Linked DNA regions of Elephas maximus indicus. The protein of the gene in region 1 purifies or fractionates together with the protein of each later gene. This does not show direct contact. Links are inferred from orthologs where the notes say so. Each region holds a gene or a part of one and is shown on either strand. Other genes may lie near its edges.

Region 1 (6,898 bases):
AATAAGGTATCTAGAAATTTCCCAAATATTTTGAAATGATATAATGCATTTTAAAATAATCCAAAATTTAAAGAATGAATACCAAGTCATATTACAAACAATAAAAACACACAATACAAAACTTACAAAGTATAGCAAAAAGTGAGGCTTAAGGTAAAAAAATACTATTATTTTGAATAAACATATGAAAATATAATTGAAGAATAGCATCAGTGATATAAATTTCCACCTTACAACACTGGAAAAAAATGAGAGCAAAGCAAACAATAAGTAAATATAGAAACAACAAAATTATTAGCAAAAACCAATGCACAGCAAAGCAGACAAAAGGAAAGAATACGAACAGTGAGTAGGTTCTTAAAAAGATTAACAGACCCAGTAAGTCACTGATAAGACTAATCGAGAAAAGTAAAAGGGAAACACCACCAATAACTAGTATCAGAAATGAAAAGGGGATAATTGTACAGATTCTACAGATACTAAATGAATAGTAAAACATCATTAAAAACTTATGACATTTGATAACTTAGAACCAAATGGGCAAATTGCTTGTACAACACAATTTATTAAAACTGTTACAGAAAGAAATACCTTTGTGCATTGCTGGTGGGAATGCTATTTTCTATTTTTCTGATAATAGCCATCCAAGTGAGTACGATTAGAAGGGACCAGTCCCTGGAGGACATCATAATTGGTAGAGGGTCAGTGAAACAGAGGAAAACTCTCAAGGAGATGGCATGACACAGGGGCAGCAACGATGGGCTCAAGCATAGCAATGGTTGTGAGCATGGCACAGGATTGGGCAATGTTTCGTTCTGTTGCACACAGGGTGGCTATGAGTCAGAAGAAACTCCACAAAACCTAACAACAACAGTGGGTGTGAAGTTTTCATTTGCCTGGAAATATTACCAGGCAGGACTACCTGATGCCGTTACCAGATAAAGACACTAGAAGAAAATTAAAAGTCAATGACCCTCATGAGCATAAGTGCAAAAAGATTTGCCAAAATATTAAAACATTAAATACATCAATATGTAAAAAAGGTTAACAAACCAAAACCACCACTACCGTTGAGTCAATTCTGACTCATAGCAACCCTGTAGGACAGAGTAGAACTGCCCTATTGAGTTTCCAAGGCTATGATCTTTACAGAAGCTGACAGACACATCTTTTTACTGCGGAGCAACTGGTAGGTTTGAACTGTCAACCTTTCAGTTAACAGCCGAGCACTTTAACAACTACACTACCAGGGCTCCAACAAAGTTTAATACAGCATAAAAAGTGTATTTTATCACAAGAATACAAGATTAGTTTCAACATTCAAAACTCAATCATCTTACCCATTTCCTCCTGAAAAAGAAACTGAATTTCCTGAGAAGGTAAAAAGAGGCCCATTGTGAAGGTGGCTGATGGCTAGAAATGAGTAAATCAACCCGGCCAGGTCAGGCTCACGCACTAACAGGTTTTGTTCTGGCCCTTAGGAATAAGAAAGCGGAGAAGGGTTTTTAATTTGACTATACCTCAAACGGTTTCCCGTTCCATTTTTTTTCTGAGTCTACAGACCTTACCACTGTATCTTTTAGCCCTGGGCCTAATACGACGTTAAAGGGTTTGATTGCTATTTTTTTTGTGAAATTGTTCTGTTGTTTGCTTTTCTCTTTAATATACTTCTGGCATCTTCTAGACTGATAAGTTAGGACATCAAGCTGATTGAGACTTTTCCTGAGGACTTTCGGTGTCCTAGTGGAATAGTACTTAGGATGGTAACAGGTCACGCAGATATATCCAGACATCTTTTTCCCACATTAGGCATTCTCTCATTTCCTACTTATAAGTAATGAGCTCGTATCATTACAACAATAAAGTCTTGCAAATTATGGAAGAGCCTCTAGAAGGGTTGAGGGCTAAATAAATTCTTTTTATCTGTATGATGGCCCAAATCACCAATTAATTGGTCACTACCTGAAAGTTTTTTACCTGAAAGTCTAGATGACTGCCTCCTTCCCCCTCCCCTGTTTCTCATTTATTTGGTCCATCTACTAAAATTCCAGCTTAGCAGTATACTTTTGGGAGCATTGCTCTGACTTCGCTCCATTTGGACTGATAATTTGTGTTTGTCTGCTGGAGTACCAACACAGGGTAGCACTCTACATAAGTTAGTTTCTAGAAAATAAACAAGAAAATGTTCTGAATCATGGTCATTCCTGCCTTGTTTCATCTACCCCCTAACCTCTGGGTTGAGGCCCTATTGATTTTCCCTAATGTCTCTCTCAACCCTTTACCTTAATACCAGCTCAATGCATTCACACAGGCAGGAAAGTAAGGTCTATAAAAGTGAATCATGAACACCATAGGTGCTCTGGCAGTCACTCAAGATCCTGCTTGCTTCACTATGGCCTACTTCCTCTGGCTTATTCAGATAGTTTCCAAATCCAAACTTCAACTCTGTCCTCCATGATAGTAGTTTAGATTAACCCAATTAGCTTTATTTTTCCCTTCAGACAACCTCAGGCCATCTACCAAATTTAACTGGACTTTGAGAACCTCTTTCCAGTCATGACCTCATCCCTCTTGCAGATCAACTAGAGGGTTAGCACAATACCATCTGTTGATTAGTGCTACATTTTTGACATCTCAGGACTTAAGTTCTCCAGCCAAATAACCCATTATCATTGAGTCAATTTCAACTTATAGTGATCCTATAGAACAGAGTAGAACTTCCCCATAGGGTTTCCAAGGCTGTAATCATTTCATTTCTGAAACTGACTGCCACATCTTTCTCCTGTGGAGTGGAGTGCCTGGTGGGTTCGAACTGTGCTTAACAACTGTGCCACTGGGGCTCCTTAAGTTCTCCAAAGTGACTCCATTATCCTCAACGGAAAAAAAAAAGCATTGCAGAAAAAATGTTAATCGGGTCCTCAACCCTCCCAGAGGCTCAATGCTCTCGCAGAATTTGCAAGGCTTCGATGTGATCCTGTTATTCACTTGTTTTGGGGAAAAATTCAGAAAGGCAAGAGTAATCATGAAGTTGAATCATAGAATAATGGATCCTAGTCAGAGTCAGAAAACCCTGGTGGCATAGAGGCTAAGAGCTACCGCTGCTAACCAAAAGGTCAGCAGTTTGAATCCACCACATGCTCCTTGGAAACCCTATGGGGCAGTTCTACTCTGTCCTATAGGGTTGTTTAGTCATACTCAAGAAGGAGCCCCTGGGCAGTGCAAACAGTAAGGCCTGGTAATCTGCTTCTGAAAAGTCACAACATTGAACCCTGTGGAGCAGCTCTACTCTGCACACATGGGGTTGCCATGAGTTGGAATTGACTTAACAGCAACTACCAGCAAGTCATAATCAATAGGGCCACTAGTGCACAATTCATTTCTAAATACTCTAGGAAGAATTGACATATTCACAATGATTTTATACCCCTGCTAGGCTCCAGGTTTGTCAGCTGCTAATTACTGTGAGAATGTGTCACTTACTATTGAAGCCACAACGAACTTGATAGCTGATCGGCCTCCATTAAGGAGATGCAGTCAAGTACTGGTAGCCACAGATTCCTCTTCTAAGAACTTCTCCTGCCACTACCACTGTGTGAACAGGAAAGGAGGGAGAATTCACTGGCTGCCTCACTTTCTCCTTTTATATTTCAGCCTCCTTCAAGAGACTTTGGTTTCTACTAACCCATATGTAAGCCTGCTAGATAAAAAGTTCAGATAATGGCACCCCTTTCAGCTACTGGTATCTGTTTAAAAAAAAAAAAAAGCATAACTTTGCACTAGTTTTTCATACTGAAACTAAGTTGTTTACAGGAAAGAGACTTCATTTGTCCTGACTGAGGAAATCGAAACTTAAGAACATGTTGGGAGGAGTTTCAAAATTTTTTCATAGATGAATAACTTCTCTCCCCTTGGGAGTTACTGAAGTAGGAGATAGCCAGAACTAGCTATGTTTTTAAGAGACTGTAACTAGTGCTATTTTTCCTCGTTATCTTTCAAAATAGTTCAGTTTCTTCACTTTTTTGTGAGATTATAACATCCTACATTCAGCTTCTGGAGAGCTTTCCTGATTTATTTCCTAGCTTAGAAGACATACAGTAATTCTTGTATTTCTGACAAAGATTTCAGGATCTGGACTACCGTGGAAGAAGTTTCCAGGGAGGTGAGTACTCTGAGGAATTCTGTGAAGATCTGGGGACCTACTTAGTAAACATGTTACCGCAAATCGCGGGTTCAAGCTGCCTGCTGCAAAGCCAATACTGAGACAGGGGAGGTAAGCAGTAAGAGGGCTTTATTGAATATCGGTATTCAAGAGACAGAGGGGGTTAAATATCACCCAAATTCTGCCTAATTCTGAAGAGCTAGTGGGAGAGTTTTACAGGGGAAAGGTCAGGGTTACCTGATGTTTTGATCACGCAGTCCACAGATGGTCTTATACATCACAAAACAACTACAAGAAACTCTTTATTAAACTAAAGATATGCCTGTGAGACATCTGGACTCTAATTAGTATATTTGTAACAGGCTTAAAAAAAAATCACATAAGAATCTCTCGGCTAGTGGAACTCTCCTGCCAAGTCCACTCTGGCTGAGATAGGGAGCAAGAAAGACAGTTGTAGATTAAAAATGTCAGGCATCTTTTCTAGCTGCCATCTTATAGGCTGAAGCCCATTTCTCAAGAGAACAGAGAAGAGAGACCAAGGCCACAGGAGCTAAGAGAGCTCGGCACCCCTTTGGAAGAGACCGGTGCAGATGGTGTAATAAAAAAATGTTTTTAGAAATTACTTAAAGCATCATTATGGTGCTAGTTATATCAAGTTCTGAATCACCCATTGTGAATCGGAGAAAACATGTTATAAGGTATTAGGGTGTTTACTAAGAGTGGAACAGGCTGCTCAGCCATATCTTGAACAGAACCCGTGTCATTTTCTAAAGACTAGAGAGGAATCACAGCTTATGCACCTATACTAAAACAAACAAGAATATGTATTCTCTCTAATATTAAAACACTGGAGAAATACTATTTTCTCTACTTCAAACACACAAAGGGAGATTACTTACAGAGAGTCTTCTAGGGGAAAAAGTACTGATATTAACTATATTCAGAAAAGTAAAAAAAGGCAATAGCTTTATTTTAATCTAGGCAAACAATGGACTTATTTTATTCTACCACAACTGAAGACTGAAGAAAGAGGAATGCATTTTGAGTATAGTAGGTTTAGAATCATTTCCCTGGGTATACATGCACGTGAGTTGATATTTAGAGGAGAGCTAGGTTTTCTTCACTGGAGGGCGAGGAGGAAAATTGGTAGCAGTGTTGGGGGCCAAGGTTAAAGACAAGATAGTGGCATGAGAAAAGTATCATGAAGTAATATTAAATTTAAAGAAATCTGGACATAAAGTTGCATTATATGGCATTATTCCAATTTTATAAAACATGGAAACACACATACATAGTAGAAAAAATTCTGATTTTCCCAAGCATGTCATTAAAATACATGGTGTCTTAATGTTTTCATAAGTATGTTTAACTTTTATTTTAGCTCCATTCTATACCAAGTGTTAGAAGCATTGTTTGTCTTTTTGGGATAGTCCCTGCTTTCTTCAAAGTCACAGATAAACTTTGTTGATGGGAGTTTGTAGGGGAGGAAAAAAAAAATTTTTTTTTTTTTTTTTTAGGTAGGGTAAATTGCATGTATGTCTGAATTCCTATATATAAAATTCCTGTATAGCCTGGGAAAAAATATTTCATTTGTGTTTGAGAGGAATAAGTTTTATAAGTTTTGAAATACTGGTTTCAGAATTCCCCAAATGTTAGAAAGTCTTGTTATTTAAGCTTGCCAATTGTGTTGATCAATATTTTTTTTTCAGTATTTGCTGTTTCTTTACTCTGCTCTGTAATTGAGATAAGCTGAAATTTCAAAATGTGATTACCATTCTGTCAGTTTTTTCTGGTATATTTTCAACTTTCTGTAAATATACATAAATATATGACTATAAATGTAGGAAAAAGAAGAGCTAGAGAAGAGACAAACTTTTTATACTAATATAAAGTAATAATAAAGAGTATACTTTTGTTATTTACAGGAAATGAATATTTAGAACTATTATATTTTACTGGGACTTTGACATTTATCATTTTAGTTGCCAAAGGAGAGAAAACCAAAATTAAAAAAATATTTGAAGAAATAATGGGATAAAGTTTTTGGAATTAAACTAACGTGAACCACCTCAGATAGATCAGGCCAATACAGTGCCAATTAGGAGAGTGGAGAAAAAATCCACAAGACACAATGTAGCCAAACTGAAGACTCTCAGAAAGGAAGCCAATCATCTGAAAGCTTCTAGAGAAAAAGGGCATAACCTTCTACTAGTTTTCTTTGTAGAGCAAAACAAGCTACTCTTATGGCCTAAGGTCTATTTAAAGCTTCTCTGATACAAAGTGCTCTCACTGAATTACTGTTTGCATAATAACACGTTTTCCAACTTTTTTTTTTTAGCTTTTGAATGACCTTTTGTCTACCACATATAAGCTTTTTTTAAAAATCCAATTAGAAAAATTTTGTCTCATAACAGATTTAATCCATTATCTGTTCTGTTGATTGCTGTTTTTTTAAATAGTTTCTGCCATTCTAATTTATTTCAGTTTGTAACACTTACTCTATGCTTCCTTCCCCTTCTTCTTCAGTTTTTGTTTTTTTTTTCCTTTCCTGTCTCTATTTTCTCCATGAGGAAAAAGTAACTTAATAAACACGCTATCCACTTGTTTCCTTCTCTCCACCCAACCATGTTCTTGTTTTGTTTCTCTTTGTTCCGGGTTTGTTGCTTTACAAGGCATTGACAGACTTAAGTTAGTTGTTCACTTTTGCCTACCTTTGACCCTGCAGAATTTCTTAGCTTT
Region 2 (7,769 bases), about 160 Mb from region 1:
GGAATGTGGTGGCCACAGGGATGTGGCCTGTGTAGGGGGATGTGGCAGTGACATAGTGAACGTGGAGGGAACACTGTAGGCAGAGAAGATGCTGCGGGCATGAGAATGTGGTAAGAATATACAAAAAGATAACAAACACGTGTGGGGACATGGTAGGCACATGCACAGGAAACAGATATGGGTTGGGGGCATGGAGGAAATATGAGGGAACATGGTAGGGATGTGGTGGGAACATAGTAAGCACAAGTGGGGATGTGGTGGTCACAGGAGGAAATATGCATTAGGAGATGTGGTGGAGACATGGCGGGTGTAAGCAGGGATGTGGTAAACGAGGGATGAAGATGAGATGAATACGTAGAAGGAACATTGTGGGCACATTTGGGGAGATGACAGGTGTAGGTGGTGACATGGTGGTCACAGAAGGATATGCTGCAGGTGTGGGGATGTAGTGTGGATGCAGCGGAGATGTGTTGGGCACGGGCGTACCCACAGCAAAGAGCACCGGGCCAGCGCCCTCACAGCGGCGCGGCCGCGTGCGGCTGGTTCCCAGGACGCCCCTCTGTTCCGGCAGCAGATGGAACTTGAGGGCCTCAATGAGCAGATCCTTGCAGTCCGGGTGATGCCGCACCAGGCCCTCTGCATCCACATGGCCCAGGAGGAAGTCGCGGCTCAGCAAGGGCAGCCGCACACACTTCATCAGCTGGGGTGGGGGGGGTGCCAGGTCAGGCAGGACCAGGGGACCCACATCTCGGTGCTTGGGTCCTCCTGAGAGCTCCCACATCCCTCCTCAGCCATGACACCACCCGGACACATGGGGGCTGGCATCAGGGGCCCTGATCATGGGACCCTCCCCATCTACAGGGTACTGGGCACACCTGGCTCTCAGCCACCTGTGTCCCTTCCCAGCCGGCAGAAGCCTAGGGCCAGCCTCACCCGAGGGACGTGCTGCCTCCGTGCGTCCACGTCGTGCTTGACCCAGCTCAGGACAGCGCGGTAGACGTCCTCCTCGGAGGGCACGTTCAGGCTGTCGCTGGAGACCAGCTCCAGCACCTGGGGGTGGGGTCTCAGGCTAGGCCAGGTTGGGGGAGGAGGTGGGGAGCCCTGAGGGTGCCCAGGACAGAGAATCTGCCCAGCCAGGGGCCCAGTGTTCCTGGGGGGGGGGTCAAGCAGGGCGTGGAGCCTCAGGTCCAGCTCCCCGGGGCCCACGGACTAGGGATGCAGGCAGAGATGGGGGTTGGGATAGGGCTGGAAGTCAAAGGGGAGGGTTTGGGCTTAGGGTGGGGTCTGAGGCTAGGGGTCAGGGCTGGCCGGTGGTGTTACCTGCTTCAGCGGCAGCAGCATGAACTCCTCAGTCTTGGCCACGTCCACGAAGTGCTGCAGCACGTACCTGTGGGCAGCCTTTAGCAGGTCGCTGCAGGAGTGTGTGTCGGCAAAGCCCCTGATGCCCAGGCAGTTGGATGGGTCAAGCTGACTCAGCAGGAACTTGCAGCATGCATCTCGGACGCCGTTCAGCTGCAGGAGACTGGCGGCTGGGAGCAGAGTCTGTGGGCACAGGAACAGGGAGAAGGTGAGAGAAAGGACTGGGAGGCCAGGGCCATGAGACAGGGGACAGAGTGGGAAGAGGGGCTTGGGCCACAGGCCAGGGGATGGGATGGAAGCGGGGACTGGGGCCACAAGACATGGGACGGGGGAGGTCAGGGCCACAGGACAGGGATGAGGGGAGACGGGGGGATGTGGGGAAAGGCACGGGGGGTACAAGAGGTACAAGGGGGACGTGGGGATTGGGACAAGGTATCTCAGCAACACAAAGGGCTAGTGACGTCACCTGCACGTTGCCCTCGCCCACCACGATTTCAGCCGTGTACGCAAACTGCACCAGCTGGTCCAGGGCCTGTGGGTCGATGTCATGCAGCGTCACATGCGTCTGACGGCTCTCGCTCATCTCATCTATGGGGACAGTGGATCAGGCCCGTCCTCTCCCTGGGAGACCTGCGGATGCCCCCCAGCCCCCAAACTATGGGCTGTGCACTTACTCGTGAACATGGCATGGAAGTAGGGGCTGCAGGAGGCCAGCACAACCTTGTGCGCTCGGATCTCCTTGGTGGCCACGTGCAGGACAATGTCACACAGAAGGCCACGCTGCCTCATGCGGCTCATGGCCACAAATGCATCATGATAGTGCCGCTTGGAGTTGTGGGCCACACTGTGGCCCTCGCGGCTCAGCAGCTGCATTGCCCCCTCCATAGGGGCCGCAGGCCAGGGCTGCCGGGGACGTGCTCGCTCTGCCTCAGGGCTGTGGGGGGTGGCTGGTCAGGGAGCTGCCCATGGCCTCGCCACGTCTGGGCAAAGCCCTCAGTGGCCCAAGCCTCAGTCAGCCCCTCACAACCCACCCTGCTCCCTTCCCCATCTCCCACCACCTCCCAGCCCTGTGTCAGGCCTGGCCCCTACCTGCCCAGCTCTGCTCTTCGTGTCCAGGAGCCTCCCTGGAGCCCAAGCAGGACCCTGCCTCACACCTTCTCTTGGCACACAGCCAAACCAAAGTCCCTCATGGACCTGGTGCCCTGATAGCTGAGCTACACAGCTCCCTCTGACCAGGTCCCATCTGGGCACCAGGCCTCCTTGGCCCAGAGTACCCTACAATAACCAGGCTCCCTTGATGCTCCTTGGGACTCTTTGTTCTCTGTTGGCCACCCTTTCCATCCCCATCAGCCCACGGTTCCCTCAGGATAGGAGTCTGTCCCCCTCCACACCGGCCAAGCGCACTGGGGATGCATGCAGGGTAAAGGTGGCCAGTGTTCCCTCAGCCACTCCCTGAACTGGACCCCTTCCACCCACACTGCACCCGCATCCTGCGCATGGGTTGCCTGAGTCTCCGTGTGCCGTGCCGCTGGGGTTCAAGGACAGCCAGGAGGCGACAGAGCCTCTGGGGATGGCCACTCAGGACGCCTGTCCAAACCCGCCCAGTTCGCGGATGAATGGAAGGGTGGGGGCTCAGGTGTGCCGATACCGGGTGTGAGAATCCGGTAGAGCGGAGAGAGCAGTGGTAGGATGGAGTGGGAGCAGTGGGAGATGCGGAACCTCCACAGAACCGGGTCTGCGGGCGCGGGGCCTCCAAAGTCGGGTCGGAGCCTTGGCTGGCACCGCCCCCCCCCCAGCCGGGCCTCGAGGACCGCGCCTGGGCACCCTCACGGCCACGCTGGTCCTCTCCCTCTTCCGCCGCCCTAGAGACTTCCTTTGGCCACTCCGGTGCCCTAGACCCTCAGTGTCCCCTCACGGCCACCCCCGTGCCCCTGGCCCGTCACGACCACCTCCCGGCCTCCCGAACCACTCACGCCGGCGGCTGCGGTGGAGGCGGCGGCGGCGGCGCCTCGGGCCCGGGCCCTGGGCTGCCGTGCTCTGGACTCTGTGTCCTGCCAGCCGGGCGCTCGCTGCGCGGCTGCATGGGCTCGGCCGTCGGACCCGCCGGACCTGCAGACGATCCAACCGACGCGCGGATGCTGGAGGACTGCTCGGCGGTGGCGGCTAGCTCCCCGCTTGCTTTCGCCGCCCGCCCGCAGCGCTCTGTTTCTCGGCGCCGCCCGCCCCGCCTTCCGGCTCCCCGGCCGCTTCGGAGACGCAACGTGGGACCCGGGTCATCCCGATGTCCTGGAGCAGGTGTCCTGCCTGCCACCTCCTCCTCCTTCAGGAGGTCCCCGGGCAGGACCTGAACCGACCAGGACCTCCTCCGGAGGCAACCCTGGACAGGCCCTGAGCCAGCTCACGGCCGTCCCCTCCTGCTAGCCCCTAGGCTTTCCAAATCCTTCTAAGTACCAGGCCTCGCTCTGGGCGCTGGCAGCCTGGGATGGAGAGGGCGTATGGGAGAGACCTGCCCTGGGCTTGACCTGCACACCCCCGGGCCTGTGAGCTAGCCCGTCGTGGGGTCTAGCACATCCGGGCGGCTCGCGTCTCTCCTTCTCTCCCTAGGGCCACTTTCGGTCCTCCGGGCCTTTGCATCTGCTGTTGGGGCAGACAAGGAAAAGAAAAAGCGGCCATTCCCGTCCAGCCCCGTCCAGCTGGGGCTCAAGTGGTTGAGGACGGGCGCGCGCTGTGGGCAGCCCACGGACCTGTCCTCCGCGCTGCATAGCACAGTCCGTCGGTCGCCTCCTGTGCCGCTGCACCAGGCGCCTCACACGGGCGTGGCCTGGCTTTAGGGCAGCATTTTTTGGTGATCTGTCTGTTTACTACACCGCCGTCTGTTTCCCTTGTTTTTCGTACGGGATCTCTGGATTTTCATTATTGATTTGTGAAAGCTCTTTGTATATTACCGCCTTTGCCGCACCTCTCCCGCCCCGGGTGTCACTCATCGACGCGCAGCACTCGGGGGCAGGTGCTTCCGGAGCCCTGGGCAGGCGGCTGGGGGGGGAAGGTGGGCGCCCGGGCTGTCGACCCGGGGACGGCACCACCGTTACCGCCTCTGACAGAGTTGTGAGAGGCACGTTAGGGTTCGACCCAGGCGGTCCGGCGGTCTGAGGCCCCGCAACCCGCACTAAACGGATGCGTGCGTGTGCGGAGACTGAACCGCGTCCCCGGGCGACCCCGGAGAGTCCCAGCCCCTTGCCGCGAGACCGACTGGATCAGGGAAGCGAATGTGCCCGCCTGCCTCTAGCCCGCCGGCGCCAAGGTCGGAGAACCTCAGAGTCAATCACGGGGCGGGGCGGGGCGGGGCGGAGTCTGGGGGCGGGGTGGGAGGGAGGAAGTGCGGCAACGCATTGCATTCTGGGCCCGGAAGCGGGGTACACGCTGCGGGTTAGCTGTCATGGCGGCGGCACTGAGTCGGAAAAGGTGAGTTTGAGCGGCCGAGGGCCTGTCGGGCTACCGGCGGCTGCGGGTATCCAAAGGGGTTCTCCTCGCCCCTGTCCGTGCTCCTGGGGCAACGGGGCTGGGGCGAGCCGGGATGGTGGACGGCTGTGACTGCGACGTCGTGACCCACAGGCGCCTGGAGGAGCTGACGGTGGATGAGTTCCTAGCCTCGGGCTTTGATTCCGACTCCGAATCGGAGCCCGAGGGCGCCCCCGGAGCGGAGGCGCGGACGGTGCACGGAGCTGCCCGGAATCCGCATGGGCCAGGCGGGAGCTCCTCTGCCAGGTGAGCGCGGCGCCTCCCACTGAACGTGCGTAGGGACCTCTTCGCCCAGATCCGCCTCGCCTCTGGGATGCTAACCTCCGCTGGGTCCTCGGGGCTGAGGCCCAGGGGCCTCTGATTCCTATCCTAAATTTTTTTAGTTTTTTGTGTTATTGTTTAGTATATGTTGTTTTTGCGTACTTTGTTAAGTTGTATTTTGAGTGGACGATATACGCTATTGTACTGTACAAAGATTCTGGTTTTCGGTATTTTTTTTTTAGTTTTAAGATGGGCTAATTCATAGTGTGTTAGGAGAAAGAAGTGTTTTGGAGTGAAAGAAATAAAGAGAAGGGTTTAGAGTAATTAAAGGGAGGTTGGGAAGAGGAGTCACGTTGTTTTAAATGAAAAAGGTAATTTGACGACAAGATAGATTGACACAGTGACTGTAACAAAGGGCCGAAGTATAACAACGGTTGTGAAGATGGCACAGGACCGGGGTGTGTTCCATTTTGTTGTACAGAAGGTCGCTGTGAGTCAGAACTGACTCGATAGCAGGTAATGACAATGATATTTTAGAAGGTGATGTTTAAACACAGACTTGAATGAGTAAGTTTTGTAGGCAGAAGGAAAAGAGTCTTAGTGTTTTAGGTGGAGGGAACAGCAACGGCCCTGAAATAGGAGTGTGTTTTATATGTTTGAGGACAGCGAGGGGTGAATGTAGCAGAGGGAGTGAGAGGGAGAGTAGTAGAAATGAGACCCGAGAAGTGACAAGGGGCCAGATCTTAGGCTATTGTCAGGCCTGCCGGTAAAATAGGAAGTTATTTTGGGGTTTTGAGCAGAAAAGTAACATCACGTAACATGTAGCACCAGGGTTCCTTGGGTGCTGTCCTGGGAGTGGAAGCAGGGAAACCAGCTTGGAGGCTGCTGTAGTAGCTGAGGAGTGCTGGTGGTTGAGTTAGGGTGAGGACAGAGCAGGTGCAAGAGAGAGACTTAAGGACAGCCCAGGCGTTTTCACCGGACCACCTGGAGGGACAAAGTTAACAACAGTTGAAGTAGAGTAGAGTCCAGGCAGAATGAATTCAGGGAGACCATGAGTTCAGGACACGAGCGTGTGGGTTGAATACGGCGTCAGAGTGCACGTGCGGAGGTGTTGAAAGGCCACTGGATGTGTGATTCTGGAGTTCTGGAGACAGACAGGTCAGCTGAACTCTTCCTGGCTTTGTATCCCTGGAAGTAGCCCTTCTCTCGGGTTGTCTGTAGCTGCTGTGAGGGAACAAACAGACCTACCCCTGTAATTTCTCAGGAGACCAGCAAGCAGGCAGTGTGGTAGGGACAGGAAGCCCCGCAACTGGCTCTGCCTACCCACTGGGGTTGCTGACCTGTCTTCTTAGCCGGCGGAAAGGCTGTGCCTCTGAGCACAAGGACCAGCTGTCTCGGCTGAAGGACAAGGACCCGGAGTTCTACAAGTTCCTGCAGGAGAACGACCAGAGCCTGCTGAACTTCAGCGAGTCGGACAGTTCTGAGGATGAAGAGGAGCAGTTGCACTCCCTGCCCAACATGCTGGAGGTGAGGGGGCCAGGCAGAACTGGGCGGGCGGGGGGGGAGTCACCTGTGGTCGTTATGCCCTGCCCTACCTTGGCTCTTCTGTGTCTGTGCAGGAAGCAAGTGAGGAGGAAGAGGAGGATGGAGCAGGGGCTGGGGACAAAGTCCCCAGGGGACTGCAGGGGAAGAGGAAGGATTCGGTCCCTGTGACCCTCGCCATGGTTGAACAGTGGAAACAGGCAACGAAGGTGAGAAGTGGCGTGTGGACTAGGCCCTCTTCCCAGAGGCAGGAGTCTGCACTCGACTCCCCTCGTCAGAGGTGCCCAGTGCTGCACAGGCATCGTCTTGGGAGGACTCCTCCCTGAGGCACGGGGCAGCTCCAGCATTCCTCCTGTGTGCCAGGCAGCTCCAGGACTGTGTTTTCCCACTTGGCCTGTCCCTTCCTCTCCAGGGCTGCCTTTTCTGTCTCCTCTCGGGTTTCTGCTGCCTAAAGTTTACTGAGGGTGGGACCTGGTCTCTCTGCCTTGTCGGTCTGGGAAGTGTAGGTCCTTATGAGGGGTTCATGGTGGTCTCTGTGAGGAGACGTTGGGAAGAGAAAACCGCCCTTACCACCTGGGAGCCTGCTGTAGTCCAGGAGCCGGCATTCGAGGCCCCTGTCCTATTGAAGGGTCCTGGACTGTGGCTCAGCAACCCCGGCCCCCACCCCGCCCCTGCATCTGAGATTGTGGCTGGGCCACGGTGCCTTTCTGAGAGCAGTTCTGTCACTTTGCGTGCCTCCCTGGGTTCTCTCTCTCTTTCGCCTTTCCAGCAGCACCTCACGCCGAAGCTGTTGCATGAGATTGTTCAGGGGTTCCGAGCGGCTGTGGCCACCACCCAAGGAGACCAGGAGGGTGCCGAGGCTGGCAGGTTCCAGGTCACGGACAGCGCAGGTGAGCCTGGTGAGGGGCCCGGGACCCAGGCTCTCCATGTGTATCCTCTCCCAAGAGTAGACCCCAGTGGCCTCTGTGTTCACCCTGTCCTGTAGTGTTCAATGCTGTGGTGACCTTTTGCATCAGAGACCTCCTGGGCTGCCTCCAGAAGCTGCTGTTTGGCAAGGCCCGAAAGGACGGCACCAGGTGAGGAGGTTG
Region 3 (7,967 bases), on another chromosome or scaffold:
CTGCTCTGCTGTGAGGACAGAGACTAACACTCCTTCATTGCAATATTTCTAATCCATAGTGCCAGGATACTACATTATTCCTTGGGGTTTTCCTACAACTTGCTCATGCCTTTGTAAATATTCGTTTTATTAACCACCATCATGCCCGCCCCATACACCTCTTGTTGATTCTGACTCATAGTGACCCTACAGGACACAGCACAGGGTGTCCAAAGCTGTAGTCTTTATGAAAGGAGACTGCCGCCTCTTTCTCCTGTGGAATGGCTGACGGATTCAAACTGCTGACTGTTTGGTTAGCAGCCAGCGCTTAAACACTGAACCACCAGGGCTCCTTTCTCATGCCCCATAACTATCCTATTTTGAATGTGCTTTCTGTTTCTTACAGGGACCATGGAATTAAAAAAGATGCCAATGTATAGTCTAGGTTATATTTTTAAAAATTGGTACTTTGCTACACATAATTTTGTATACTCCTTTTTTTCCATAAGAATATATTGTGAGCATTCACCTCATAATTAAACAGACTCAAAATATGTTCTGTACAACTATTCTTATTAATCCTTATTAATAAGATTCTTATTAATAATAATTCTTGTTATGTCCTTGAATTAGCTATTAGCAGGGGAATTAATAAGGGTATAAATTTAAGGTTACAAATGCATACTGAAACTGAGCTCCAGATACAGTCCCATTAGCCACATGTAAGCATACTCAGTTGTCAGGGACTGAATTATGTCCCCCCAAAAATGTGTGTATCAACTTGCTTAGGCCATGATTCCCAGCATTCTGTGGTTGTCCTCCATTTTGTGATTATAATTTTATGTTAAAAAGGACTAGGGTGGGATTTTAACACCATCCTTACCCAGCTCACACCCCTGATCCAATGTAAAGGGAGTTTCCCTGGGGTGTGGCCTGCATCACCTTTTATCTCTCAAGAGATAAAAAGGGAAGCAAGCAGAGAGTTGGGGACCTCATACAACCAAGAAGGCAGCACCAGGAGCAAAGCGCGTCCTTTGGACCTGGGGTCCCTGTGCCTGAGAAGCTCCTCGACCAGGGGCAGATTGAGGACAAGGGCATTCTTCCAGAGCAACAGGGAGAGAAAGCCTCCCCTGGAGCTCAGGCCTTGAATTTGGACTTTCAGCCTACTTTACTGTGAGAAAATAAATTTGTTTGTTAAAGCCATCCACTTGTAGTATTTCTGTTATGGCAGCACTAGATGACTAAGACATCAGTTCACTGTCCTTACTTTCACTGCCAATACTTTACTGCATATAATGGAGCATGGGAGAGAAAAACCACTGACTGGCAAAGGGGAAGAAGTCAATTTCTTTAATCATTGACCTGACAGTGTTATACCATCAAATGAGATTAAAGTACACTAGGGTTTGATATCTAACTTCGCTAATTAGCTATATGGTCTAAACCCTTCTGAGCTTCAGCATCCTCATTTATAAAACGGGGATTAATATCTCACAGTAAAAGCAGGTAGGTATACACTTGTTTCTCTGTCCACTGTTCATCAAAAGTCATACACATCTTTAACAAGCAGAATATTAAGCTTTTGGGTTATTTTAGCAAATAATCATTTTTATTCCCCCTTTTTTGGGCTCTCTCATCACTCCTGATGATTTAAAATTACATTTTAAAGTCAGAAAGGGTCTCGGCAGTCATCTAATTCAACTTTCCCACCCAACAGAAGGGTATCTTCTAACTTCTGTCACCCAGTCTCTGTCTGAAGCACTTCCTGTCATCACAAAGCAGCTGTTTCAGTTCTGAGCACCACAACTTTGCCAGGCCAAAATCTGCTTCCCTGGAATTTCCACCTAACCTAAGACTGCCTTTTGGATCCACTCACAATGAGGCAGCTCCCTGTCCCACATGGCAGTTCTCTGAATATCTTAAGGTTTTTGTTTTTCCCCTTTAAGTTAAACTAGTGTCTCCGATCATTTTCTCCCATGAAATGAGCTCTAATCTTTCTAATGCCATGGATGCCTTCTTCTGAATGAGTTCCAATTTGCACCTGAACTCAATGAAAAACTCCAGGTTTAGCTTAGTGGTACATTCAGGACTAACAACTCCGGTCACTAGGTATTACAATTTTATCAAAAGGGCTTAATTATATGAAAGCATAAAAACTACAGTAGGTCATTTCAATATTGATGCTGATAACCAATCAACTATTTTGATCTCAGTTACTCATCTTCCTGTATTTTCCTTTTTTCTATCACCATTCATAGTCACACTGTGGGCTTTATTACTACAAAGCTCTGCTTTGACTCCTACTACAAAGCTCTGCTTCGATTCTTTAATTTAGTCCTCTCGTTCAGTCTCAATCTCTTACCTGTCACCTAAGCCCTACTCATTTCCTAATGCTCTCCCCATTTCATCAAGATTACCAGTCTTCTCAGGCACCAAGAATTCTTTCTTCAGGTATGGTCTGCTTCTTAGCACTACCTTAAACTCACAGGGTTAACCATCCTATTCCTCAATGATCATCTCAACTGTCACCTCCTCTGCTCCTAGGATATAAAACACTGCTGGAGAGAGACACGTACTCATACATGCCTGCACCTGCAGCCAAGTCTAAAATTCTTTTCTTCATGTTCAGTGGTATACCAGGGGTTCCTAGAGGTAGTATGGTCAGTGATTAAGTGCCAGAGAATTCTACAGTTAGATTGTCTCCTGGGTTAAAATCTCAGATTCATCTTTTACAAACTTGTGACTCAGGTAAGTTAGCTAACTTCTGTTATCCTCATCTGTACAATGGGGATAATGAATTCACAAGATTATTGAGAGCAGTAAATGAGATAATACAGGTAAAGCTCTTAGTTCGTTCTCTAGCTCCTAATAACGTTCAACGAATGTTCCCAAAACCACTGCCAATTCCAACTCATAGCAACCCTGTAGGATGGAGCAGAACTGCCCCATAGGGTTTCCGAGGCCTGTAAATCTTTATGGAAGCCTACTGCCACATTTTTCTCCTGTGAAGCAGATGGTAGGTTTGAACTGCTGAACTTTTGGTTAGCAGCCTAGTGCTTAACCACTGCGCCACCAGAATGTTACTCATCATAATTATTATCTGGGCATGCACTATAAACTCCATGGAAGTATATGACTTTGGGGAGGATTTTTTCTAGGAAGACACTAATTTTAGCTGATTTTCCTTTATAGAAAGCTTCTTGCCTCCTCTCCAGCTACCAAAATGCTAGTCCTTTTAATGGGGGAACTTCAAGATCTAATCTTCTATAGAATGCTTACAGATAAATATGACCATCAACAATCTATAATTTTCTTGATAGTCTACTATCCTAGTATTTTGATATTTGGATTTATTCCACTCTGCCCTTGATTTCATTTTACCTAGCATTATCTGTTTTATGTGACCAACTTTCAAGCCTGCGATTAGACTATAAGCTCCTTAAGAGCAAGAACTTCATTAGGTATTTGTGTGTCCCATACAGCAGTCCACAAATACTAACAGTACTTATCCGGTAAATTGAATTATGTAACTCTTCATGATGAACCACTGCTGCAGGTCTAATTCTCAAGGCAGAACTTAATTTGTATTAAGAATACTAGAAATTAGTTTCCAAACAAAGTTATAAAGATCATCCATGAAACTATCTTTTCCAGAATTTATGGTTGGGTTTTTTTAACTTCTAAAATGCTGTTAACTTCAATATACTTACCTCAATTAACTCAATAAGTTAAAAAAAAAAAAAGGAAACCCACAGTATTTGGATCCCGGCTACCAATTCCATCACAGCAACTTGTACCATATTATAAACGCTAAAAAAAAACCAATCAACCTTCAAGAAAATTCCATCCTAAACCTACTCCCAACAACCCGCTGAGAGTTATGCTCCACCCCTAAGTGTCTGCATTTTCCTTTCAGCAGAGCTGCCGAACACGTGTTTCAAAGTACCTCCACGGTGTGGGGTGGTGGCTAAGCCCTTAAATGTGACAATCCTTTCTTTACATCAAGCTTTGAGTCTCACATTCTACACAATGAGGATTCTTCTCAGAGTTTTCTACTCACACTTCATATCTTGGGGGGGGGTGGTGGTGGAAGAGACAGCAGCCACACACCTTTACCTCCTCCTCAAATCTAGTTCTAGGTGAGAGAGAGCAAAAGCATCTTCTCCAACGCTCTCCTCCTCACAGTACGGAAAATGCAGAACAGACCAAGGCATTCTTTTGAGTGTTTACCAATTGGTTCAGATGATGGTGCAGTCAGAGACCTCTCCCACTTCCCCAATCCCCGCCTTGTCCGCCGTCCAGCAAGGACAACGCAGTCAGGGACTCCGAGTCCGAAAGATGAGAAGAAATGAATCGCTGGAGCTAAGAGTCGGGGGCAATCCAGGAATGGGGGATGACAGCGAGGGGAAGGAGCCCGGGGTCTAAGCAGGTTCTTACCTGCGAAACGTATTTTCACGAGGTCTAGGGGATGCAGCGCGAGATTGGACAGCACCCCACCGCTCACGCCCGCCACCAGGTTCTCGTATCGGACATGGCGGAATATCGTGCTCCACGCCGAGGACCCAGTCGCCGACTGGCCCTGGCCCGTCATAGGCTCTGGACCCGCTGACACCAGGGCGCCCGGGGCCGCGGACGTGGGACGATACGCAGTGGCTGCCACCGTGGCGACGGTAGCTGCCAGGAGCAGAAACCGAGGGGTGCGAGCCCAGTTCCGTGACTGGCACGTGGTCTCCGACGCCGGGACGCGAGAGTAAAGCCCCGAGACCCGGATGCAGATGGGGCATTAGGAGACGCAGCTGCACGTGACGCTGGCGGAGAACGCAAGGGAGGCGGGACGCCTGCCTCCGCCTAGACCCCGTCCCACCTCACCGCCGGAGGCTGCAAGCCCCGGGTAAAGATCGTGGGTGAGAGCAAACAGCTGAAGGACCGCCCACTGCTAACCTTTGCCCGCGAAACTACGGAGCGCCTCAGGACCCAGCTGAGCCGCGCGCTTAGGCTCCTTGAAGTCATGTGACAGGAAGTAGTTTTGGAGAAGCGGAAGTCGAATGTGCCGGAGGAGGCGGTGGTAACAGGAACCGGGAGGCGAAGGCTCGTGGATTTGGGGAGAACGAGCCGTCAATATGAAGGTGAAGATGCTTAGCCGGAACCCGGACAACTATGTCCGCGAAACTAAGTTGGACATACAGAGAGGTGAGTCCAGTTGGTAGAGAGAAAGCTTACCGCCAGTCCCCGGGGTGTAGCCTCTGTTTTCTCAGGGTAAAGCCAGGGGGGAGGCTGGTGCTCCATTCTCATTTCTTTGTTCATCTGTGGGACTGACTAGCAGATAACTTCCCCTCAAGCCCTTTTTTAGAATTTTCTGTAGTGGTAACTGGGAAAGAGTTAACTGTGGAACGCTTTTACGTATATATGGGGGGACTCTTCCAGCTGTTGGTCTCTAATTGTTCTCGGGCTCTTATTTCTGTTGAGAAGCGGAACTTGAATGAGCCACACTCGTGGATTGAAGGGTTTAAGCGTTAAACAGGCTTCACTAAACCTCCCTACTGCTCTGATTTCTGGCCGCTTTATTACTTAAAATTAGTTATTACTGGATGTGGAATGTAAACCCTGGCGGTGTAGGGGTTAAATGCTATGACTGGAATGTAAACCCTGGCGGTGTAGTGGTTAAATGCTATGGCTGCTAACCAAAGGGTCGGCAGTTCGAATCCGCCAGGCGCTCCTTGGAAACTCTATGAGGCAGTTCTCCTCTGTCCTATAGGATCGCTATGAGTCGGAATCGACTTGACGGCCCTGGGTTTGGTTTTGGTTTTGAGTGGATGTGGAAAGAGACAAAGATGAAACCTAAAGCCACCGGTTTTCTCTTAGTAGCAACTGTTTTGAAGAAGTGTAATGAGGGAATGGTCAAAATGACATTAATTTTATTTTTCCATTCTGTCCTGTTTCCCATTAACATGCTTGTGAGACCCAAATGCCAAGGAACAAACTATGTATGAATAGAAAATTCCAAGTGAAGGGAATAACAAGTGCAGAGGCCTTAAGGGCAATGTGATCGGAGTTTAATCAGGGATAAGTGATAGAACATGAGGCTGGAACAATATGTCAATATTTTGATTGAGTAGTAGAGATTAGCAACATATATGAGCATTGCTATATAAATGTAGCCTCTGCGCACAAGATGTTGACAGATTAAGTAATCAGACAGTAATGTTTCTAAAATGAAAATTAGGCTGTCACCTTCCTGCTTAAAATTCTCTAAGGGCTTGGCAGCATCCCTCCTTGAACTGCTGGTCCCATCTTCTTCAGTTTCACCAGTCACTACTTTTCCACAAGTAGCTTTCTTTTGGAATTCCTGGGTGGCACAAATGATTAAGCCTGGGCTACTAGTAATTGAAAGGTTGGAGGCTTGAACCCACACAAAGGTGTCTTGGAAGATAGGCCTGTCACTGTGCTTCCCTAAAGTCACAGCCTTGAAAACTCTGGAGTGCAGTTCTCCTCTCACACGTGAGGTTGCCATGAGTCAGAATTGACTGGATGGCAGCTAACAACAGCTGACTTTAATTCCTGTCTATCCGAATGCTTTCCTGGTGTTCTCTTTCAGACTTCTGGCACTCACCCTTATTTACCTCAGCCCCTTCCTCTGAGAAGCTTTCTCTAAACAATCTTTCTATGTTTATCTCCTGCCACTTGTTACACTCCTCTTCTGCCATCCCTTCACATATGTATATGGGCAGTCTCCTGGTTAGGAACGTCCGACTTACAGACAATTCATACTTAAGAATGGACTGCCATAAAGCCTATTGTATTAAAAATTTGAGTTAAGTGCAGTGGTTTGTGATAACAAATGCATGCACTGCTTTGTGGCACTCAGGAAAACATTGCATGGTTTGGAAGTGTTTCTTCAGTGCTTTATATGCATAAAAAGGTAAAACATATACTGTATAGTAAGACGAACGTTTCACTAACTGACATTAAATAAAAATCGTCTGTACTTGTTCTGACTTACTTACAAATTCAACTTAAAGGCAGACTTAGGAATGGATCTCATTTGTAACCCGGGGACAGCCTCTACTTCTATCAGTATTTATCACATTGTCTGATAATTATTTTGATTATCAGTCTCTCCCATTAGACTGTGCTTGCAGAGAGAAGAAGAATCATGCCTATTTCTACCACTGTGTTTAAAAATGTACATTTGGCACATAATAGTTGTTTTATGTGCACTTGGCACATAATAGTTGCCTTATGAATGTCTGAATGAAGGCATAAATGAGTGAGTGACAGGCTGAAGAGGTAGATTGAGCCCAGATTGTAGAAGACTAGAAGGAGCTTGAAACTCATTGCATAGGTCAAACGATAGCAGGCAGGCTATTCATTGAGGTGTGTGGGGGGGGGGGAATAATTAGTACTTCAGTTCATATTCTTCATCTTAAAAAAGAAATTTGTATGATATTTGGATTGGCACTGACATCCTCATTTGGGCCATGTGGTAAATGTTATTAGTTTCAGTCAAGTAGATTCCAACTCACGGCAAACCCACGTGTGCAGAGTGTAATTGCTTCATAGGTTTTTCAAGGCCGTGACTTTCAGAAGCAGATTGCCAGGTCTGTCTTCTGAGGTGCCTCTGGGTTAAATAGTCACATATTATATATGGTACTAATGGTATCCCAAGCAGAGTGGAAAGGTTGACAAAGGCTTATATCTTTAGGATATTGTAACATACTACGTTATCAGGGATTTGCTTTATCTTAAAGTAACAGAACCTTTGTCAGTAATTTGTAAAGCGATAGAACCAAACCCAGTGCCGTCGAGTCGATTCCGACAGAGCAGAACTGCCCCATAGAGTTTCCAAGGAGCGCCTGGCGGATTCGAACTGCTGATGCTTTGGTTAGTAGCCGTAGCACTTAACCACCACACCACCAGGGTTTCCAAGTGATAGAAAGGACCATGGAAATCTTTTTTCACGCAGAAGTTCCTCAGTTATATCACGGTAA
Region 4 (7,246 bases), on another chromosome or scaffold:
AGTTTAATTAAGTGCACAGAATAGTAGCCAGTCGTGTCACTAAAAACAAAATAATTATTTTTACTTTGAGTGTGCTTTATTTTGTCCACAGGTATTCTGTTAAATAAAGCACCATAGAGAGAGAGAGAGAGAGCCAGGCCACAGCTAAAGAGGATTCCTTACAGAATCCTACTTCTTGTGGCTATTTTGTATACAAGTAAACTTAAGTTTGATAATAAGAACCAGAGGTATTGGGGGCAATCTGCCTCTATTATAAGGTGCCAAACAGGCACAGAGGACATTATATTGTACACAATAAAAATGCTGTAAGTTTAAATTTAACTTATCGGTTCTAAGGTTTGGGCTAGGACTAGGGTTAGTGTTAGGTTTACGGTTAGGTTTAAAGTTAGGTTTAGTGATATATTTAGAGCTAGAGCTAGGGTTAGGATTAGGGTTATGGTTAGGGTTTGTGTTAGTGTTAGGTGTTAAGGTTTGGGTTATGGTTAAAGTTAGGGATAAGGTTCATGCTATGACTAAAGTTAAGTTCAGTGTTAGAGTTAGGGTTTAGAATTAGGTTTAGTGTTAGGGTTAGAGTTAAGATTTGGACCCGGGCTACAGTTTGGATGTGGGTTAGGTTTATGGGTAGAATCAAGTTTTATTTTAGGGGTCGGGATTTTCATTAGGGGCAGGTTTAGGGTTTAGGACTAGGGTTAGGTTAGGGTTATGGTTAGGACTAGGGTAGTGTTAAGTTTATGGCTAGAGTTAAAGTAATATTTAAGGGAGCAATAGGACTACTGCTAGGGCTAGAGTTTGAGTTATATCTATGGCTAGACTTAGAGTTAGAACTAAGGTTAGGTTTAGAAGTAGAATTAGGGCTACCGCCCGGGCTAGTGTAAAGTTAAACTTTGGGTTAGCATTAGGGCTAGGACTGGTTTAGGGTTAGGATTAGGTCTAGGGTTAGGTTTAGGGTTAGAATTAGGGCTAGGACTTGGGCTACTGTGAGGGTAGGGTTAGGGTTAGGAATTGGGCCAAGACTAGGTCTGGGGCTTAGACTAAGGGTTAGTGTTAAGTTTAGAATTAGTGTTAGTTTTAGGGATAGAGTTAGGATTAGAGCTAGGTTTAGGGCACAGGTTAGGTTTATGGGTATAATTAGAGTTAGGGTTGGAGGTCTGGATGAATATTCATGTTCAGGGTTTGGCTAGGACTAGAGCTAGGGCTTGATCTAGGGTTAGTATTAGGGTTATGGTTAGTGTTAGGGTTTGTTACAGGTTTACTGGTAGATTTAGGGCTAGGGCTACAGTTAGGGTTGAGTTTTGGTTAGAGTTCTGAGTAGGGTTATCTTTAGTTAGTGTTAGTGTTCAGACAAGGGCCACAGCTGGAGTTAATGTCAGGGTTAGGGCTAGGGCTAGGTTTAGGATTATTTAGAATTAGGATTAAGCTCAGTTTTATTGGTAGTATTAAGGCTACTGCTATGGCTAGGGTTAGGGTTACATCTAATTTTAGATTTAGGGGTAGTAATAGGTCTAGTGCTAGGGCTAGTGTTATGGTTACAGTTAAGGTCTGGTTTATGGGCCATGGCTAGGGCTAGGGCTAGGGTTAAGGTTAGGGTTAAGGTTAGGATTAGGGTTTGGGTTAGAGTTAGGGTTTGGGTTAGGACTAGAGTTTGGGTATGGTTTAGGTTTAGGAATTGAATTGGGGTTAGGGCAAATTCTGTGTTTAAGGTAAATTTTAGGGCTAGGGCTAGGATCAAGTATATGGTTAGGGTTTGTTTTACACTTAGGTTTAGGATTAGGTTAGGGATAGGTTTAGGGGTAAGATTAGGGCTATGCCTAGAGCTAGGTTTAGGGTTAGTGTTAGTTCTTTGGTTAGCTATATAAAAAAAAAAAGCTATAGGGGTCCGATTAATGCTTGTGGTAGAGATAGTATTAGGGTTAGGGTTACCGTTAAAGTTAAGGTTAGGATTTGTTCTAGGGCTAGGCAACTTTCTTCATTACATATATTTGAATTGGTAAAACTGTACAGTGTTTTTTCAGTCAATGAATGTATTAGGAACTTTGCTTGTTTAAAAAATTAAGGCAAGGTGTAATTTGCAAAGTAAGATAACTCTCTTGACTTCATGTACTTGCATGGGAGAATATGTGTAGTAGTGTGTCAGTCAAAAAATGAGTTGGGAGCTTTCACATCCTTGCAAAACAAAATGTACTTTGAAAACCTGTATTGGCTTCATTTATTTGAATGGAATAATCCATGTATGTTTTCTTATTCAAAGAATGTATGGAGAAATTTAATGTCCTTGTTATGCAAGACGGTCTCTGGTGGCACAGTGGTTTAGTATTTGTCTGCTAACCAGAAGGTCCACATGTCCAATCCACCAGCCGTTCCTTGGAAATCCTAGGGGACAGTTCTGCTCTGTCTTATAGGGTTGCTATGAGTCAGAAGCACTCAACAGCAAAGGTTTTCTGCGTCATACACGATGTGCTTTGAAAACCGAGATAACTCTGTTGAATTCATGTGCTTCAGTGAAGAAACTTTGAGTGTTGTAACAAGGATACACTGTGTAAGTGCATGTTTTAGTTACACAGGGTGTACTTTGAAAACCAGGATAATCCTCATGACTTCAGGTACTCGAATGGAAAATCTGTGCAAAGTTTTCTCAAAGAATGTGTTGTGAACGTGCCTGTCCTTTTTACACATAATGCACTTCAGAGAACAGGGTAATTCTCTGGAGTTCATATTTCATGAGCAAACGCATGTAGTGTTTATTCAGTCAAAGAATGTGCTGGAAACTTTTTCACCCTTGTAATAAAAGATTTGCTTTGAAAACCCGGAAATGAATGGGAGAATCTGTGTAGTGCTTTCTAATCAAAGAATATATGGGGAAATTTCATGTCCCTGTCACACACAATGCATGTTGTAAATGAGGATAATGCCCTTGAAGTCATGCACTTGAATGGAAAATCTGTTTTCTCAAAGAACTTACTGTGAACTTCCCTGTCCTTGCTATAATGTATTTTGAAAACGAGGGTAACTTTCTTGACTTTGTTACCAGGTGGAAACCCCAGGTTCTGCTTGGTGTGACTGGAACTGGCCACTAAGTGAGAAAGCGAGAAGGGAAGGCAGAAAAAACCTGTTTCCTGTCAAGTCGATTGCCACTCCCAGGGACACCATAGGACAGAGTAGAACTGCCTCATAGAGTTTTCAAGGAGCGCCTGGTGGATTTGAACTACCAACCCTTTGGTTAGCAGCTGTAGCTCTTAACCACTAGCCACCAGGGTTTCCTGGCACCTTAATTTCGTTGGGCAAAGACAGGAGTCAGTCAGAGCTGTTGCTGCCAAGACTGCTTCAGAAGGGCAAGGGGAAACGTTAGTTTTAAGGGGTTTACAAGTAGGGACTTCATACAAGTTACATCAGAAACATTCTTAATCATACTACGCGGGCGCAGTGGGGCTTACTTCATGCACCACTAGGCCAAGAAGGGATTCTAATGTGTGGCGGGGCGGGGTGAGGGGGACGCCAAGCAAAGGAAACAAGATTCTAAGGCAAAGCTGTTTAAGGCTCGGCCTTAACTTCGTGTACATGAGAGGCATAATCTGTGTTGCTATGTCTCAAAGAACGTATTGGGGATTTTCCCATCTAAGTAATACAAGGTGAGCAAGTGGAGGAACAAGAGTGGGCCTGCTGTTGGCCCCAGAGCTGATGCTGCGGAATCCAAGACTAAACCCATTGCCGTGGAGCGGATTCCAACTCATAGCGACCCTGTAAGTCAGAGAAGAACTGCCCCATCGAGTTGCCAACATTTTGGTCAGCAGCGTAGCACTTAACCACTGTGCCATCAGGGTTTCTAATCGAAGACTAGAGCCCTTGTTTTCTGACACTCAATCTTGGGATATCCCATTATGCGAGTGCGGGACATGGTAGGTCTGGGGTGACAAAGGCTAAACGTGTTCATTTCGGTTTTCTGTACCGCACTAAGGAACGGCCGCACTGTCGACATTGCCTTTGGCGGGGATAAGCCGGGCGCGGCGTAGGCTCCAAGTTAGTGTAAAGACGCTGGCGCCCCGCCTCCACTGCCCAGCGACCCCCTCTGATGAGAACAGAGACTAGGCACGGCACCGCTGGGAGGCGGGGCGGGGCGGGGCGGCAAGGCGGGGCGGGCGGGGCGGCAAGGCGGGCGGGGCGGGGCGGGCGGCTAGGTGGGCGGTGCGGAGCGGCGCGGCGCGGCGCGGAGCGGGGGGCGGGCGGGGCACCGGGTGGAACATGCCATGGAGAAGTCGCTTGCGGCCACCCTCAACCAATCGCGGGTCTTATTCTTGGCTTTCCCCTGAAAGTCGTCTCTCCGCCGGAGTCCTTCTTCTGCTTCCTTGTTTCCCGCCGGGGTATAGAGGCAGTGCGTAGGGTTTATTTCCGTTTCCGTCCGTGTCCATGCGTGCCTGAGGAGCTCTAGCTGTTGTGAACCAGGTAAACGCTGCGGTTGGCGGAACCTGGGCCCTGGGGCTCTCTGGGAGGATTGGTGAGTCGCCCACCGGGTTAAGATCCTCCTTCGGTCCTCCCGCACAGTCTTTCCTTTTGAGGATCCCCTCGTAGCTCGGACTGACGCACGTTTCGTTCATGCCGGAGAAGTGCTTCGAGGTCTTGGGCGAATGGCAGAGTGAATTTATGCTGAGTCCAGACGCGAGGGGGAAGTGGCGGGAGGGGGAAGTGGAGAGGTCACTTCCCGGCGGGGGAGAGGGGGCATTCCGAGCAGGTGACGGTAGACCTGAGCTAGATTGGTGGGCTCCAAATTGTGCTTTTCCCACGAAGAAAGTCACCAGTACAAGTTGAGAACCAAAATATAAAAGAGAAGAAAATAATCTCTTAAAGTCGCCAGTGACTAGTTTAACAGCGTTCTTTGAACCCAGTTTTTCTACATCCCGGGCCAGTGTTCCTTGACGTTATCCTAAGATGTAAAAAACTAGTTATCCTAGAGTGGATCCTTACTTACGGCGACCCCATGTGTTTCAGAGTAGAACTGTGCTCAATAGGGTTTTTAGTGGCTGATTTTTTCAGAAGTAGATCCACAGACCTTTGTTCCAAGGTGCCCCAGTGGACTGGAACCTCCAACCTTTCGGTTAGCAGCCAAACACATTAACTTTTTGCACTACTCAGAGATGTAAAAAACAGAAGACCAAACCAGCTGTCTTTGAGTCGATTCTGACTCATAGCCATCCTATAGGACAGGGTAGAATTGCCTCATAGGGTTTCCAAGGAGCAGCTGGTAGATTTGAACTGCCGACCTTTTGGTTAGCAGCCATATCACTTAACCAGTGGGCCATCAGGGCTCCTACTTAGGACGTAAGAACTGTCTGTGTGTCTGTGAGAAGCCGCTGACCTATATGTGCTAATTGCAACCAGTGCAGCCTTCTGAAGTGGCAGTTTCTGATTGGCACAGATGAGATCAGTGTGTATTTCCTCTACCGGTCAGACTGTATCTGTAGCTGTCTCCTGGTACAGTGCTTAGGACATCATAACCCATTACCTTTGAGTCGATTTTGACTCATGACGATCCCATGTGTTACAAAGTAGAACTGCTCTATAGGGTTTTCTTGGCTGTGATCTTTTTTTTTAATCTTTCTAAATCATATTTATTTTTATTGTACTTTAGATGAAGTTTTACAGAACAAACTAGTTTCTCATTAAATAATTAATACAATAATGTTTTTGTGACATTGGTTGCCAACCCCACAACATGTCAACACGCTTTCCTTCTCGACCTTGGGTTCCCCATTACCAGCTTTTCTGTTCCCTCCTGACTTCTTGCCTTGCGCCTGGGCTGGTGTGCCCATTTAGTCTTGTTTTGTTTTATGGGCCTGCCTAATCTTTGGAATCAACCCGACAGCAGTGGGTTTTTAATCTTTGGCTGAAGGGTGAACCTCAGGAGTGACTTCATTACTGAGCTGTAAGGGTAGGGGGCCATACTCTTGGGGTTTCTTCAGTCTCTGTCAGGCCAGTAAGTCTGGTCTCTCTTTTTTTTTTGTGAGTTAGAATTTTGTTCTACATTTTTCTCCAGCTCTGTCCGGGACCCTCTATTGTGATCCCTGTCAGAGCAGTCAGTGGTGGTAGCGAGGAGGCACTATCTAGTTGTACTGGATTCAGTCTGGTGGAGGCTGTGGTACTTGTGGTCCATTAGTCCTTTGGACTAATCTTTGTCTCGTGTCTTTGGTTTTCTTCATTCTCCCTTGCGCCAGACTGGATGAGACCAGTGAAGTATCTTAGATGGCTGCTCACAAGCTTTTAAGAACCCAGATGCTACTCACCAAAGTAGAATGTAGAACGTTTTCTTTATAAACTACGTTATGCCAACTGAGCTAGATGTCCCCAGAGAACATGGTCCCCACAGCCCTCAGCTCAGTAATTTGTCCCCTCAAGGAGTTTGAATGTGTCTGTGGAGCTTCCATGACCTTGCCTTGGGCAAGTTGTGCTGGCTTCCCCAGTATTGTATACTGTCTTACCCTTCACCAAAGTTATCACTTATGTATTGTCTATTTAGTGTTTTTCTCTCTGCATCATTCCCCTCCCTCACAACCATCAAAGATTGTTTCTTTTTGTGTGTAAACTTTTTCATGAGTTTTTATAGTAGTGGTCTCGTACAATATTTGTCCTTTTGTAATTGACTTATTTCACTCAGCGTAATACCCTCCGGATTCATCAGTGTTTTGAGGTGCTTCACAGAGTCATCATTGTTCTTCATCCTCGCGTAGTATTCCATTGTGTGTATGTACCATAGTTGGTTTGTCCATTCATGTCTTGATGGATACCTAGGTTGTTTCCATCTTTTTGCTGTTGTGAACAGTGCTGCAGTGAACATGGGTGTGCATGTCTATTTGTGTGAGGGCTCTTATTTTTCTAGAATATATTCCTGGAGTGGGATTGCTGGGTCATATGGTATTTCTATTTCTAGCTTTTTAAGGAAGCGCTGTACTGTTTTCTAAAATGGCTGTACCATTTTGCATTCCCAGCAGCAGTGCATAAGAGTTCCAGTCTCCCCACAGCCTCTCCAACATTTATTTTCTGTTTTTTTGACTTCGTGTCTTGGCTATAATCTTTAAGGAAGCAGATTGCCAGGACTTTCTTCTGTGATGCCTGGGGTGGGTTCAAGTGGTTAAACTTTAGGTTAGTAGTCAAGTGCAAACCATTTGCGCCACCCAGGGATCTGTAATGCTAGAGAGTCATTAACATTTTTTAATTTTTTTAGTAAATTTTGAAAAATAGTTTAAGGTAGGAAAGTACT

Evidence for each region.
Region 2: the proteins of gamma-interferon-inducible protein 16-like (region 1) and NOC2L purify together in Homo sapiens (affinity purification with mass spectrometry; 3 studies listed by BioGRID and IntAct, with this or other methods). This does not show direct contact. The link is inferred for Elephas maximus indicus from reciprocal best matches to the Homo sapiens genes IFI16 and NOC2L.
Region 3: the proteins of gamma-interferon-inducible protein 16-like (region 1) and DCAF13 purify together in Homo sapiens (affinity purification with mass spectrometry; 3 studies listed by BioGRID and IntAct, with this or other methods). This does not show direct contact. The link is inferred for Elephas maximus indicus from reciprocal best matches to the Homo sapiens genes IFI16 and DCAF13.
Region 4: the proteins of gamma-interferon-inducible protein 16-like (region 1) and BMS1 purify together in Homo sapiens (affinity purification with mass spectrometry; 3 studies listed by BioGRID and IntAct, with this or other methods). This does not show direct contact. The link is inferred for Elephas maximus indicus from reciprocal best matches to the Homo sapiens genes IFI16 and BMS1.

Annotation. Positions count from the first base shown.
Region 1 is NC_064821.1:197,360,139-197,367,036, forward strand, and holds the start of gamma-interferon-inducible protein 16-like, read left to right. Parts: upstream 1-3,882; 5' UTR 3,883-4,159; intron 4,160-6,898.
Region 2 is NC_064821.1:39,530,294-39,538,062, reverse strand, and holds the start of NOC2L (nucleolar complex protein 2 homolog), read left to right. Parts: upstream 1-4,767; 5' UTR 4,768-4,795; coding exon 4,796-4,821; intron 4,822-4,971; coding exon 4,972-5,124; intron 5,125-6,491; coding exon 6,492-6,666; intron 6,667-6,758; coding exon 6,759-6,890; intron 6,891-7,450; coding exon 7,451-7,571; intron 7,572-7,666; coding exon 7,667-7,757; intron 7,758-7,769. Other genes in the region: KLHL17 (kelch-like protein 17), read right to left, coding at 487-700, 934-1,050, 1,321-1,542, 1,826-1,947, 2,034-2,293, 3,333-3,442.
Region 3 is NC_064833.1:38,648,762-38,656,728, reverse strand, and holds the start of DCAF13 (DDB1- and CUL4-associated factor 13), read left to right. Parts: upstream 1-4,950; 5' UTR 4,951-5,099; coding exon 5,100-5,169; intron 5,170-7,967. Other genes in the region: SLC25A32 (mitochondrial folate transporter/carrier), read right to left, coding at 4,417-4,570. UniProt on the Homo sapiens protein: Part of the small subunit (SSU) processome, first precursor of the small eukaryotic ribosomal subunit.
Region 4 is NC_064826.1:133,906,360-133,913,605, reverse strand, and holds the start of BMS1 (ribosome biogenesis protein BMS1 homolog), read left to right. Parts: upstream 1-4,226; 5' UTR 4,227-4,437; exon of another isoform or gene 4,438-4,489; intron 4,490-7,246. UniProt on the Homo sapiens protein: GTPase required for the synthesis of 40S ribosomal subunits and for processing of pre-ribosomal RNA (pre-rRNA) at sites A0, A1, and A2.